Oreochromis niloticus: one gene and its partner. The protein of the gene in region 2 interacts with the protein of the main gene of each other region in a pairwise test. Links are inferred from orthologs where the notes say so. Each region holds a gene or a part of one and is shown on either strand. Other genes may lie near its edges.

Region 1 (7,197 bases), on a different chromosome or scaffold from region 2:
ATGAAACCAACAAACATGGAGCTTGTTTTGTGCTTTCAGGCGTTAAAAGTCCCTTAAATGAAACGTGATTGGAACAAAGAGCAGAGCGGAGGATTCTTACAGTGTTCTGTCTTCAGCAGCTCCTGAAAGTCCTGCTTTGTTTTCTTCTTCATTATCGACTCACTGGCACCAATGTCTGGAAGAGAAAACGCTCTTCAGCAACGCAGCCGTGCAGATATTACTCAGAGTCAGCGGCACGATACTGTAACACTCACGCAGGCTCAGCAGTCGATGTTCCTGCTTTAACCCTTTCAGCTCCTCTGACACAAACGCCTTCATCTGCTTTATGTCCATCCCCCGACGTTTCTGTATAGTTATTAAAGAAAACCAGACAAAAGGTGTTAGCTATTATCCTCACTAATGCTGCAGGGTAACCTGACACTATGTAACTATGTAACTAAATGTAACTACACGTCGCATCAACACAGCCCACGACTACTGCGAGGGGTTCAGCACCGTCAGATCCTCTGGCCAATTTCCAGATACTTTTTTGTCGTAGTTTTTGAGACAATAACAATTATAGCGTCAAAGCGTCAAGATAAGGACTCACAAACGTCACTCCAGCAAATTCCTGGAGCGAGATCAATGTTTGCTGACCTAAACAGAGAGCGGAGACGCAGGAGCATTTTATTTGTTTCTATTGGCTGGCATCGCACATAAAACACGACCACAAGGTAATTAACACGTAACGCACCAATGCAAATATAAATGCCATTTTTCAAGGTTGTGTCGTACAAAGATTCTCTAAATCGAGCCACAGGTGCAATGATTGCTAAGCAGTATCAACATTCACTCACGTCATATGCAGTCTGCAGATTCCTGGCTTTCTGACTGAGAAAACCAAAGACGTTGGAGAAATGCTCATTTCTGATTTCACTGAACACCTACGAAACATTAGACACACTTTTCTATTAGAATCACGACAATTAGTAAAGCGCAGCCGACCGCAGACTAAGACGAGCCTTACCTTATCCTGAGAGTTCAGCATCACTTTCACACTTTTGTCAGAGGAGGTAACATCAGGTCCAAACTCCACACATCCTGCACAGTAGTTGGAATGATCAGACAACATATGGATATTTTTTTTTAAATCCCCCAGCCGGGGAGGGCGTGGCTTCAAAAGAGCTAAGAATGTGAGGGCGAAACGCTCTGCTCAAGAGGTCAGAGGTGACGTGTTTCTCTGAGGCAATAAAGTGAACGTGTAAATGGATTTGATTTACTGACACCTACCACATTTGATTCTAAAGATGTCATCGACGAGGCCTTCGTAGACAACTTGTGAGCACAGAGGAGTGACAAAGTCCACATCTGCAATGATAACGACGACATTAGAACGGGAACGGCGCGGCCCTCGTCCTCTGAGATCACCACGTCTCCTCACCTCTGTCAATAAGGAAAACATTCCCAATTTCAGCCTGACGAGCTTTTTGTTCTCCCTCTTCGACCTGCTCCCTCCATGACTCGTACGCCATCTGGGATCACACAGGATTACCATCAGCAACAGCCCAAAGCAGGCGACGGACAAACTGGATGTGAAAAAGTTAAACTGGTTTGATCCGACTAGCTTCTGGTTTCTAATCTTACGGCACCTTGGAGCAGCGCCCAATCCCGTAGACCTTTGAGAATGGGCCGTACAGGGAGTACAGGAGGTGGAGGGCACTGCCGGCGGTCCTCACCCAGCGCTGGTCTCCGGCCTGGAAAAATACAGGATTTATCTGCACCCTCAGAGATTTTGTGTTACACTTCTGATTCAACTACGGGCTTATAAATCCAGCAACGAACAGTTCAAATGTGATGATTTGTTGCACTATGATTATTAACACTACAACACCCAGACTTCCTTTGTGCTGTCAGCTTCAGATATGAGGAATTTAAAGAAAGAAACGACAAAAACTCAAAACTGAAGCTCGAGGACAAAAAGTGTGATGGAATGTAAATGGAATGAAAGTCACATCTGGACAAGCAGCAGCTCTCATGTGTTTCTCACAAAAACATGTTTGGATGTCAAGGTAAATAAGACGCTCTGTAAATGTAAATTATGTAAATTATGACGTTTTATTCAAAAGACTAAAACTGAATCAAACACTGATGCAGAGCAACAAGTCATGTGTGTATCCAACAAGAGCATGCGAGGCCAATATTCATTTTCTTTTCTTTGCTTTTCATCATTTGGGGGAAACAGCTGTGTACTGCTACAGAACCTCTTCACATTAACAAATGACGACTAAAACATTGACTAGAAAAGGATTTAAATGATCAGTGATCAAATGATCAATACAAGCAACTGGCCTCTACTAACCAGGAAGTTGTCTTGAAAGAATTCTGGCAGCTCCAGACTGATGATGTCATCATCAAGAGGAAGCAGGTAGAAAGGCCACTCATCTATGGTGACATCTACAGGAAAGGCAAAAACAGCTTTTACACTTCTCCTCACTCACACTCATCATTCCTGCAAAAAGAGAAAGATGCCTACCGCCAAAGATCCCCTGCTCCTCCAGCACGGCCTCACACGCATAGAACTGGTAACACAAAGAAGGGTCAGCAGGTCAGTATCAAGCACGCGAGGCATTACAAATACAGCACAGACACAAGACAAGAAAGAGAAATACCTTCTGAGGGGTAAAGATGATCTTGTATCTTCGGGATTTTCCAGGTACCTTGTCTGCGTTCACCACATCTGCAACAAGAAAGAATGCAGATGTCACTTCGCTTCAGCTTTCATCCATTTTCACTGGAAGACTTCATATTAAAACCACCAAGACAAGAGATGATAGAAAAATAAAAAGAATCTCCGTTTACCACATATCCATTTGACAGTCTGTATTCTTGGTCGGATCAGGAAACAGAGCCTGGAAAAAGAGCAACGCCACATTGTCAGGTGGGCACGTCAGGTGTGTGGTTACAATTCTGTAAGGTATGAAGGTGCAGGCTCACTGATCTGAGGTGCTGATAACAGGTTTGTGTTCCACTTTGTACAGTTTGTCCACTTCATGTTGCTGAAAGAAAAAGGGGGGAGACAAAAAGCTTTTAAAGACCTGCTGAAAGTGCAGTAATCCTGAAGAGATGCCCTATCAGAACAGGCAGGAGAGCAGCAGCTGATGCGGTTCACCTTTAGTGTTGATACATTTGCAATACGATCCAGCGGGCTCATCAAGTCTGCCTCAATGAAGAGGTCCTTCTTCCCGGGCAGCTGTGACACAAGAAAGGGGCTTGTAAGACAATCTGCTCTTCACAACACAAAAAGCATCCCTTGTTTTGTTGTAGTTCCTGTTTTTTGTCTTCACCGAGTCTGAAGTACATCACAAACTAATGCGTGCATGGCTTAGTCTGCACACAGTTTCTACACTTTCTCCACTGATTCTGACAATGTTCATTTTTGCCTAATTAAATAAAATTAAACTGTAAAACTGACTCCTATGGCAAAAGTAAACTGTAGTTTGGTGGGGACAATTTTCATGTGAAGACAGTATAGTTCAGCATATAGGAGTAATATTTCTCAACATAAAATCTCAAGCAAATGGCTGCAATCTTTGGCTTTCCAGCAGCACTGCATTAGAAATAGACATGATTCTGCAGCAGAAATCACTCCATGAGCTGGTGGGCACTTTTAAAAGCCACTGCCAGACAAACGGTTTATTGTTATCTCCATAAACACAAGTTATAATTCTATAAAACAAACAAGAAATACAGTAGACTTCATTAAAAGCACAGAAGGCCAAAGGAGTCTCTATTTTCTGACATCACTGAGGTCCTTCAACATCCACCGGACGCTGCTCAGGATGTTTGATGAGTCTGTGGTGGCCAGTGAGGTCCTCTGTGCTCTGAGCGATACCAACAGACGTGTTGCTCGTGAATGGGTGTGCAGTCAAATGATAAAGTATAATAATAAAAAACAAAAAAGAAGAACAGTGCCATATGCATGCTATACATGCCAGTCATATTACTGATGAGCATGTCTTCAGCAGAAGCTGTGACTTGCTCCTACCTGTTCCAGCAGGTAGATGAGCTGATCTCTGGCCAGCCTCTTGAGGATGGAGAAGTCGGGGAGCTCCGGGGAGTCTCTCCTGGCACTGTGAGCCATGCTGGACACACGACGGAGGCCGGACAACACTCAGTCATCCACGGCTGGCATAAACAAAGAAAATAAATAAATAACTCATATACAAATATAATGTTTAATAATGGAGATACAAAAACCAGCAGAAACATATAGAACAGTCAGAGATCTGTGCTGTGATTATCCTCCCTGCTGGCTTAGCTTCAAAGCTAAAATCACATTCATCACATAAATGAAGATATAAAGTATCGAATACGCTGACACTAGTGTGTAAAAATTTCCCCCAAAAATATAAAATTAATGCCAGAAATTTGACCGTTTATGTCTTTTGAAACATAACACTTTATCTTATATCTTATGTTAGCAGCTACCTGCTTCCGTAGCTAAATAACTGGAATGATCCCACGACCAGTTGTTTCCCCCCGGATCATAATACGAACGGACCGCCACAGTTTTGCTCGAAAGACGTTGAAAATTAATTCACCTAACAACGCGGTTTTTCTGTTACTGACCTGACAGGACGTGATTTTTACACCATGAACTCAGATGCAGCTTTATTGTTAGAAACTGTCCAATTTGCCGCAGAGAAACACCGCAACCAGAAACGTAAAGATCCAGAGGAAACGCCGTATATAAATCACCCCATAGGTAGGTGTGTTTTTACGGTAGTATGATGCATTCACGGCCTGTACGTAAACCCGTGAAGTCTCTCACTCTTATCTTTAAAAGAAAAAGAAAAAAAAGTTTCTGATGTTTAACTGATACGATACCGGAAGCCGTGGAAGGAGGGAGTAGCCGAAAGGAGCGGTACGATCAGAACTAACCAGTAAAGTTATCAGGGTTTACTCGCATACTGCAGCTATATCACTAATATTTAGTGTTTACCATTTTATGGCAACAAATAGTTTTGCAGAAACTATATTTCAATTAACACGAGTGCCTTTATTTTGATTCTGGTGATAATAGCCTGCCGTGTAATAGCGATACGTTATTTTTCGGCTGTGTGCTCGGCACACAGTGTATAGTCTCACGTTGGAGGTGGAGGACGATTGATCCGGTTTTTTGTTCAGGCGTACAAAACTAATGGCTTTTTGTGTGCAGGGGATTTAGCGGCATCTAGTGGTGAGGCTGCAGATTGCAACGAACCTAATATCTCCCCCACTACCCACTGCTCCGTTTTTCTTTGCTGAGCTAATGATAGCACTTGGCAGTGCTTTTCCTGTCAGGGCTCCAGACCACTAGAGCTGTGGGGGACTTAAAGGGACAAGCTTTGAAAGGATAAAGAAATGCACCAAAAATAATACTGAAAAACATGAATTATTTTCCCTCTCATCTAATTTTCCATGTATCTATTCTTATTATATTGTCTTTGTTTGTTTTTTTAACCCTCTCCCCCCCCAAATTTGTATTTTTACATTTCGTTAGACATTCTGCTTTATTATGCAAAAGAGGAGCTAGTGATTGTTTCAAAATATCTTTTGAGACTACAGTTCAGTGGATTCGTTTATTTTGGTGTTAGGCAGGAGTGCCATAGATGGGCAGCCAGTGATTAAGCTCCCTCCTTGTTGTCCCTGTGTGTAAAGGAAGTTTCTGGTGGTTCGTCCACTTCTTCTGTGTGAGTTTTATTTTCCTACTTACAGATGAGAGCTATGAGCTATGTTGTGTAGAAACTTAAAGTTCTGAAGGAGCTCTTCAGAGAGGAAATGTCTGATTATAAATGAGTTTTCTTGTTCTATAAGTGACTTCTCTTAGCAGCCTGGAAACAGTGAAGCTTCTTGTTTACTGTCCTCTCTGCTACTCACAACTTTCTGTGTGTGCTTTTAAGGAGTGGCGAGAATCCTCAGCCACGAAGGGGGCGTCACAGACATCGAGGTTTTGCAGGTGAGTTATCAGTTGTTAACTGTTAGTCACAGTCACGTGCACGCATTCTCACATCAGTAATCCCATGTGCTTCCTCCCGCTCTGCAGGCCGCCCTGCTTCATGATACAGTAGAAGACACCGACACCACCCCCGCAGAGCTGGAAGCTAAATTTGGGGTAACCGTGGCTCGCATTGTTCAGGAGGTGACGGATGACAAGAGCCTGCCCAAGCAGGAGAGGAAGCGTCTACAGGTGGAACACGCACCTCACTGCAGCCAACAGGCCAAGCTGGTTAAACTGGCTGATAAACTGTACAACCTGAGGGATCTGAACCGCTGCACTCCTGTTGGTCAGTACTTCTCTGGACACAGTGCTGTTTGCTACAAAATGGAATGCTGTGTAAAAAAATAAATAAAAATACAAAATGAAGAGGATGAAATGCTTTGGAACACTTTATTTATTTGGCAGAAGTGCAAAAGACAACATATCAAATGTTGTTCAGTTATGTTTCTGAATGTGTTTGGCAGGTTGGACAGCTGAGCGGGTGCAGGAGTATTTCCTGTGGGCCTCTGAGGTGGTGAAAGGCCTGAAAGGAACCAATTCAGCTCTGGAGAAGAAGCTGGAGGAACTCTTTAAAGAGAGAGGAGTCCAGCTCTGACAGCAGGGCCACAACACAGTGGAGAAATGCAAATAAAATGCTTTTTAGTTTGTAAATATTCAAAATAAATCAAATTGAATTTACATTACAGTGTCTAATTTTCTGTGCATGGTTTTGCAGGAAAGTTGAATGTCTGATGTTGTGGTGTTTAGTAGTTAAAAAGTAAAAGATGTTACTCCTCATTTGGCAATTGTAGCTTGTGCACTGTGATGGTCCGTTTAAAAATAAGCCTATTTAGATATAACACACATTTGCAGGACTGCATTACACAAAGCAAACAATTTGGCACACTATCACTATACATTTTATGCTCAGTAATTTTCTTTAAAAGAAAATAAATAAGCTAATATAAAACAACAAGGAGATGTAGTTCATTTGAGTATTTTCTCTTGAATCGACCTGATATCTCTATTTCATTAATAGTTTTAGTAACTCCTTTACATGTTACATGTCCACATTTAAAACATATCGGATTATTAGAAATTATTCTACTTTTTAACCAAGAAAACAATAAATAATTGAATTTATTCGTACAAAAAGAATGAATGTTTAGCTCAGCAGCCTGCAGATGGCGCTGTTACAC
Region 2 (8,361 bases):
AACACAAATCTATAGTTTAATTAGAAGATGGTTAAATAGTTCTAAACATAAATCTGTAGCTCGGGGTCGTTTATTTTGTACAAGAACACACACAAAAAAAGTTCCACTAAAATCTAAGCCAACCTTGTAAACTCTGATACATCCCCCAGTAAATGCGCAGGCAGTTCTTCTCCTTCTTCATGCCCCTTTTACACCGGCAGTTGTACAGCGGGCTCTGTTTGAGCGCGTCAATCGCGCTCCGGCACTCGTCCTTGGCTTCCAGGCCGGCCACCATGCTGAAGTTGCTCTCCTTGCCGCCGGCCACGCACTGCCTCATCGTGCGGTATTTGGTGCTGCACGCCTGCTCCTTCAGACACTGCTCATTGGCCCGCACGCAGTCCAGCCGGGCACGCAGGTTCTCCTCCGCGTAAGACAACACATCTGAAAAATAAAAGTTTTATCCGTCGCGTGTTTTCTCACTTTCCCAGTAAACACTGGAAGCTTAAGCAATTTTCAAGCTGCTTTAGGGATTAAAATATTACACAAATATGAGCTTTTATTATGAACACGCCACATGTAGGTCGCCACAAAAGAGTACACGGGCTATTTTTTGGACCCACTATTTTGGAGCAGTTATGCACATAGTTGCCTAACTGGCACTTTCATTCAGCTGAAAGTAGAGTATAAACTGCTGTCACATTCACTGTTGTTTGTTGAGGCACTGACAGCTCATCAGAGTTTTTCTTTTTGGAGCAGTTTACTGCACAGTTGCGACCACACTGTACTGCGAGCAGCCGATGCGTCTGCCGGGCACCTCTTTATTAATAGAGCGCAGAATGTCGCTACTAAATATTTGATGAAACTCTATAATCAATTCGAAGCGAGCAGCTGCTGGTGCGAATCAACTTAAACTTACCTAAAACAGGAAGAAGAACATAAAACACAGCGAGGATCATCGTTTTCCTCTGCGTGGGAAACAAAAACCCTTGTTGGAAGGTAATTTCTTAAGTTAATGCAAATTAACAATAGTTAAATTCCCAGGGTACTTCCACTGTATTGAAATCCATTGAAAAGGTGCAGCACTGCGCGCTCCTCTGTATACAGGACAGATCCGGCTCGCCTCATGCGAGAGATAATTTCCCCTCCAAACAAAGTGTCCAGTCCCGATTTCTGCTCTTTCTTTGACTCAATGGAGAGAGAGAGAGAGAGAAAGAGAGAGAGAGAAAAGAAGCGCTTCTTTTTTATGTCCTTCCCGGGCGGGTTTGTCTTCTCACCGCGAGGAGACAAAGACAAGGGATGAGAGCAGCGGTGGAAGGCGAAAAAACCGGCGAGTGTCCTCCAACTCCAGCCAGTGGGATGCTTGCGTCTGTGCGTCTGAGCGCACACAGCCAACTGGAGTCCCACTGCTGTCTAGCGCATTCAGCAAGGAGGAGAGTGCCAGCTTCCCCCTCGCGCTAAAGTACAGTAATCTGATCATAAATTTACAATGATAGACCTTCCCATCAGAGCAAACTCGCCCCCTTTTTTACCACAATCTCAGCACAAAAAGTCAATCGTGAACTTTTAGCCCACTTAACTGAGTAATGAACCAAATAATGTAGAATATGCTTTAGCGTTATGATAATTTTATTTTTAATAAACTTTCCATGACAAGTACTATTAAAATGGCCACTTTTGGTGTATTTTAACTGCTGTTGCGTGCACGTAATTACATTTTTTTTTTTTTTTTTTTTTTTTTTGTAAAGGGGAACCTGCTCTAACAACCATTAATGTGAATGTGAATGTGTGTGTGTGGTGTGTGTGGGGGGGGGGACGGGGGGGCTCGGTTCACATTTGACTGTGCATAAGCTGCACTGATGGGGAGAGGGCAGAGAGCATGGCTCCTGTGTATGTTTATGACATGATTGATATAGCAACACGTGGAGATGCTTATATGGCAGGGGTGTTTTGTTTTTGTTTTTTTAGATGTGAAGCACCTTTTGAACCTGGAGCGAGAAGGTGGGACGGATGTATTTCAGCTGTTTAGTCAATACTCCACACATATCACGCATTTGTGACTCCTCCCAGCTTCATATCGTTTTCATATTATTTGCAAATACCAAGATTAAAAGAAAAAAAGTGTTATGCAACAGTAGTTACCAGCTGTGAAGACAGAGGACTGTTAGGTGTTTGCTCATGTCAGAGGTATGATATAATGTTTTTGATAGTTGACAGCAGCCTGACAGCGCTGCGCTGGGAAAAACCTGCCCTCAGTCTGACACAGAGGAGAGTGGACACTGGGACACTGTCGCCATCTGTTGGTGATTTGAAAGAAAAGTCACTGTGGTGCTTGTGGTGATGGACAGCTCAATTTATTGTCACATGTATAGAAAGGCAACAAACTGATTATTACAAAAACAGGGATGACTGAGCTGACTGTGAGATGACTGTGTACTGTATTTATTCTTATGTGTACTGTATTTATTCTTATTGTATTCTAATTTTTGCTTCATAACTTTTGCACTGTCCACTTCCTGCTGTGACAAAACAAATTTCCCACGTGTGGGAGTAATAAAGGTCATCTTCTCTTATCTTATCTCATGATACATCATGGCACTGCACTCTTCCTGTAACTCACTGATTGCCTCTATGGTATATTTAGGGGCTAATCCACTTGGATAAATACGTATGTCAAGGAGCCTCTCTCTGCATTAACGACTGAGGCTGAATCAATCACGCATCCTGCGCCCACAGCAGTAAATCAACTGCACGTGTATATATATTTAGAGAGGCATGGAGCAGGTTCATTCACAGATGGGCTGTGAAGCAGCTGATTTGAACGTCAGTGACTAATCCCTTATGGAAAATGAAGTCCTGGTTAGGTTGGTACAGGTCAATGCTGCAGGCTACATTGACATGACACAGCCCAGTGTCCATGGATATTATTAAAAAGAGAACATGACTGGAAAAGAGACAGAAAATGAGATGAACGGCAGGCTCAGTCCGCACTGTGGGATAATTGTCTGCTTACAATTTGATGACTTTGCTGTTCTAACATCTCCAAAGGGAAGCTTGCCAGTCAGGGGGGAGGCTCAGTCTGGTGATTTATGAAAAAAGCCCTAATCAATATTTGATATTAATTTTGTAAATGAATGTCAGAATGATGTAGCCCTCTGGTCGTTTAACTGTTTTGCACAGTAATGTGTTTTATGGCACCGGATCAGAGGCTTTTTCTTTTTTTTTTACTAGAAACCTGGTCAAAGTCTGGAATTGTGTGACAAATGTAGGCAGCAGGTGTAGATGGATTACTCTGAGAAAGCTGACTGCGCCGATACAGCACTTCATAACACTCAACAGTCAGGCTGAGTGGGGACTGATAAATGTCAATGTACTGCCGGTCACTATAGTTAGGCAGTACTTCTCTAATTTATATTACCAGCAGATACAGGACAAGGATGATGACTCTGAAGAAGGAAAACGTCAATTTAATTGCTGACTTGAAGATTTAACACAGGTTGAGTTGTGATTTATCTGATAAATCCATGAACTATCTACAGTTAACTGAGGCTTTATCCGGGACATAAATAATTCGCTGATTGATTGTGTTTTTCTTTTTTTTAAATTTTTATTTACTTAGTGAGGATAGGTTAATTGGTAACTCTAAATTTCCCATAGGTATGAATGCGGGAGTGAATGTAAGTGCGAATGGTTGTCTCTGTCTACGTGTTAGCCCTGCGACAGACTGGCGACCTATCCAGGGTGTATCCCGCCTCTCGCCCTAAGACAGCTGGAATAGGTTCCAGCCCCCCTGCGACCCTGAAAAAGGATAAGCAGAAGCGGATGGATGGATTTAATTTAAATTTCCCAGTTTTTATGTATGTAGATGGGCAGTTTTTGAGGGTCCTGCACAGTATCTTAGCTGCTCTTCTGGACGGAGATGTCGGATGTTGTTCCTTGGATCTGTTGGAGCCACTCGCCTAGCTTGGGGGTCACTGCACCTAGCACTCCAATTACCACTGCGACCACTGTTACCTTCACCCTCCACATCTTCTCGAGCTCTTCTCTGAGCCCTTGGTATTTCTCCAGCTTTTCATGTTCCTTCTTCCTGATGTTGCTATCATTCGGTATTGCTACATTTATAACTACAACCGTCTTCCTCTGCTTGTCCACCACCACAACTATGTTCAGTATGTTAGCTTTTACCAGTTTGTCCATCTGTATGATGATATTTGCGGGTGTTACATACTGTGCAGGGGCCTGTCCTTTCATGATGGTTCCTCCTCTTGGAGGAGCAAGAGGGAACCATCATGAAAGGACAGGCCCCTGCACAGTATGTAACACCGGCAAATAGAAGAAGTGACTGATATTGAGAAATCCTACCAAGGGCCGGACAAAGCTGAACTGAAAGACAGCACAGAGGCACTAATCATAGCAGCACTGGAACACGCTCTGAGTATAAGATCAATAGAGGCTGGAGTCTACAACACTACTACTTACTACTTACTTACTAGCTTTCTATAATCACTTCCACTTGCCTGAACTTGACCTAATGTCTCATAATGTGACTCACTGATTATGTGTGTGTGTGTATTAAAACCATTTCTTCTTCTCCTTCTTCTTCTTATTAGTAGTAGTAGCGGTATTTCTTCAGATTTTGTACTGCTATAATGGAGGAATTTTCCAAATATAGAATCTATAAAGTATAAGAGTATAAAGTATGAGATTGATTTATTTATTTTCAAAGGAACAGTCTTTATAATATTTAATGTCAATATCATGATATCAAACGTCAAATTTAATTTAAAATAATTGAATAAGCAAAACTAAAACCAAACATTTTAAGGACACAATAAAAGCAATGACTCCTGTCTGGAAACTACGACTACTAAAACTAAAGCTAAATATACTGAACTACAAATACAAATTAAAGTTAAACAAAAAAACAAAAAAAACTAATTAAAAAATGTTGCAACAATGTCACAATTATAAGCTACCTCAGTCATTCAGACTCTTTGTCCTGACAGAAATAAGCCTCCTTAGATTAGATGGTTTGCTAGCTAACTGTTTATTGACCCAGCTACTAAGCCAACATGAGTTTAGACACACTTTTTCAACAAATTCTTTTAACTGAGCAACAGTTAGCAGAACAGACACAAAAAATCAAGGATGGTAAGTTTTGTTTATTTCTGTCAATCTGTTTGTTTTTTGCTTAATTATCAATCTTCAGCTAGCAAATAAGCTAACAGCTAAACGCTAGTGAAAATGCTAAATATAGATCTATACAGGCTACTGTATTTTAATGTTTAATGTTGCATCATGTGTTGTTGTTGTTGTTTTTTTAATGTTCTTTAGTCAAAATAGCCATCATCAGATGCAATGAGAGGATAAAGAGTGTCACTGAACAGTATGGGAAGAGCAAAGAGGAACTTGATGAAAAGGTGAAACTGTTGCTAGTTGATGCTAACATGTGAATTACATATATTTTGTGACCAGAGCCAAAGCCATAGCACTGTGTTTAAGATGCTTACATTTATTAGATTTTAGATATAAACCATTTGGTTCTTCAAATAACCCTCTGTGTGAATGGTTGTCGTAGTTTACTGAGCTTTAAACAGATTCATCATATATAATGTCTTAAATGATCTTGAACGGTGTTTATTAAATATTTACACAGTAGCTGTAAAATCATGTCATAGGGTGATGGAAAGTGTTCACTTGTTGCACTGTATTTTAGAGTGAGCCCCTGTAAATAGGTCTGTTTCATGGTACTGTGATTTATTACATAACAGCTTTATGTTTACACAGCTCAGTGCTCATTTCAGAGGTGCCATATTATTTAATTTCTAATAAAAATTAGTAAAATGTTGTTCCTGGAATGTTTTACCTGGGATTAACATAACATCTGTATATATAACAAATATAATTAATATTTATTTTTTTGTGGTTTCCAAAAGGAAACAGGCCATTCTACTTATCACCACCATTACAAAACTAAAAAAATGCACACATTGTAAAATATAAATAGAAACTGATGAATTTTAAAAAAAATCAGACATTGAACTATCAAAGCAGCACAGTGCCATATTGATGAGCTGATCTAGTTTATAATTTAAACACTTAATCTCTACCTTCTTTTATCAATGATCAATAGCAAATGGCACTGTAAAATCAATGGCTTATTTCCCCAAATAACATTACTGAGACGTTTCGTGATATTATGCCCCATTACAGAAACAAGAAAAAAAAGAGGCTCTTTGCTCTTTTCACATATATTGCAAGGACGACACCATGCCCGACTGATCATTTGAAAACACATGGCAGTGGTATCTTTTTTTTGACTATTGAGACTGTTTACATCATGCAGATATGCAGGCTGTGTTTACTGCACAGTGTGTTTACAGCTCTCATGATGTAAGGTCTTATGGTTTATGAGAGCTGTCTTAAGATAATTACAGTGTTTATAGGACTTGGAAGCTGATTGTGCTCACGGAAACATGCTGCACTTCAGTATTACAGCAGAAGAAAAGCAAAGCTACTTTCTCCTCTTTAGCTCAAGAAACAGACTGAAAATTGCACCAAAAGTTATGCCCAAGGCAAGAATCTACCTTCCTACATAATCGCTCTTTCTTTATGTTTATATCGATTTAAAAAGAGAATTTTTGCTGAACTAGTTAAAGAAACAGGATGTTTTTGGTTACATTTTCAAAATAACTCCAGTTATTATGTCTGTTATGTCTGTCTCTAATAGTCGGTTATAGAGTATATACTGATTGTTCCAAACTAGGGCTACGTTCACACTGCAGGCGAAAGCGCATCAAATCCGACTTTTTGACCCTATGCGACTCATATCCGATCATGGTATGACAGTGTGAACAGCACAAATCCGATATTTTCAAATCCGATCTGGGTCACTTTTGTATGTGGTACTGAATCCGATACATATCTGATGTTTCAGAAAGCGACTGCTGTTTGAACGGTCATGTCCCATTAAATCCGTCTTTTACGTCACTGACACAAGACAGACGCCAATTATCAGCACCAGAGAACTGCCCGAGAAGACATCGTGAACGCTTCCTGGCCATCCCGTGTAGATGTTAGTGAAACTGTTGGGAAGACAACGTTGGAGAAACGTGAACATTTTATTTGTACTGTATAATCTGCAGATTCTGACAGAAATCTGTAACTATCCTTTGAAGCACCGCTCCTCTAAAACAGCAATAAGGATAATTATTGGGCCATGTGTAAATAACAAAATAACTTTATAACTTAAGCAAAATTGGGAAACGTAAAGTCCAAAACAAGTCTTTATATTAAGGGCCATCAGTCAAACAATACTGTTTGGTCTGGGTCTAAACAGAGCGCGTTGTGTGTGACGTCTTCTTTTGCGCATGCGGGCCGCTTTTAGGGTTCACACTAGAGCGTGTTTGCTGTCACATTTTATTTGTAGTATGAACAAGCAGACAAAAAAATCGGATTTGATCAAAAAATCAGAATTGAGCATTAAGACCTGCAGTGTGAACGTAGCCTAGAACTTTGATCTCATTTCACCCCGTCTGGTATCAGGTGATATCGCTCACATACGAAGCATCACCAATCCATCTCCCTCGCTGTACATCTGTCTGTCAGACTGTGTGTCTTGATCATCTCCTGTATTTATGCTTCAGGCTCAGCAGTTGTCTGCAATGAGGCTGCAGTATGACCTGGCAAAGAAATATGAGAACCAGATGTTAAAGCAAATTGAAGAGCTGCTCTGTCAGAAGAGCCACCTCAGGGAGCATCTAGTAGGTTGAAGCCTGGATCAATACTTACCTCTCAAATTAGACAGGTTGTATCCAATATGGATACCTCTTCAGCTTTAATAGTTTAAACTTCTTGATTGAATCACAGTACTATATGGAATGACCCGATCAATTAATCAGTGATTGCACAGATCAAAAAAGTGGTACCCTTCAGAGATGTTTGTATTTTCGTAGAAACTGAGTTTGACATTTTAGAATTGCTTGTTTAAAATTCCAGAGGTTTAAACTAGGTTATGTAAAAAGAGTGTAAACTCAGAGCTTCATTTTAGAAGCGGGTAATTTTTTTTCTCATTTAGGATTATCTTATTTTTTATACTATCCCCACTTTGCTGCTAAAGTAACAATAGCTATTGCAAGCCCTGTCACAACCCGTTTTCACGCAGCAGGTAAAATGCAGAATGCCACCAAAAAAGGTGGCATTCTGCATTCAACACATTAAGCTCTTAGAGCAAAGATTTTCTTTTTTTCCAAATGTTATCATAATTATATAGTAAAATTAAGTCTGTAGTACCACAAGGTCTGTTATTATTGTTGTTAGAAGTATTTCCCATGATCCTCCTTTTCATACCAGAGCAAGATAAAGAGGGCGGCTAAAGAAGAGGAG

What was found.
Region 1: the proteins of coiled-coil domain-containing protein 172 (region 2) and hddc3 interact in binary tests that used the Homo sapiens proteins (3 or more experiments, as listed by UniProt). The two-hybrid records come from large-scale screens. The link is inferred for Oreochromis niloticus from reciprocal best matches to the Homo sapiens genes CCDC172 and HDDC3.

The regions. Positions count from the first base shown.
Region 1 is NC_031965.2:1,541,647-1,548,843, reverse strand, and holds hddc3 (guanosine-3',5'-bis(diphosphate) 3'-pyrophosphohydrolase MESH1), read left to right. Parts: upstream 1-4,510; 5' UTR 4,511-4,632; coding exon 4,633-4,744; intron 4,745-5,921; coding exon 5,922-5,977; intron 5,978-6,059; exon of another isoform or gene 6,060-6,064; coding exon 6,065-6,305; exon of another isoform or gene 6,306-6,351; intron 6,352-6,483; coding exon 6,484-6,614; 3' UTR 6,615-6,697; downstream 6,698-7,197. Other genes in the region: vps33b (vacuolar protein sorting-associated protein 33B), read right to left, coding at 101-175, 255-345, 837-923, 1,007-1,080, 1,270-1,347, 1,421-1,511, 1,629-1,733, 2,339-2,433 and 6 more. UniProt on the Homo sapiens protein: ppGpp hydrolyzing enzyme involved in starvation response.
Region 2 is NC_031978.2:4,575,760-4,584,120, reverse strand, and holds the start of coiled-coil domain-containing protein 172, read left to right. Parts: upstream 1-4,909; 5' UTR 4,910-5,048; coding exon 5,049-5,127; intron 5,128-5,310; coding exon 5,311-5,396; intron 5,397-7,622; coding exon 7,623-7,739; intron 7,740-8,328; coding exon 8,329-8,361. Other genes in the region: gfra1a (GDNF family receptor alpha-1a), read right to left, coding at 124-420, 896-935.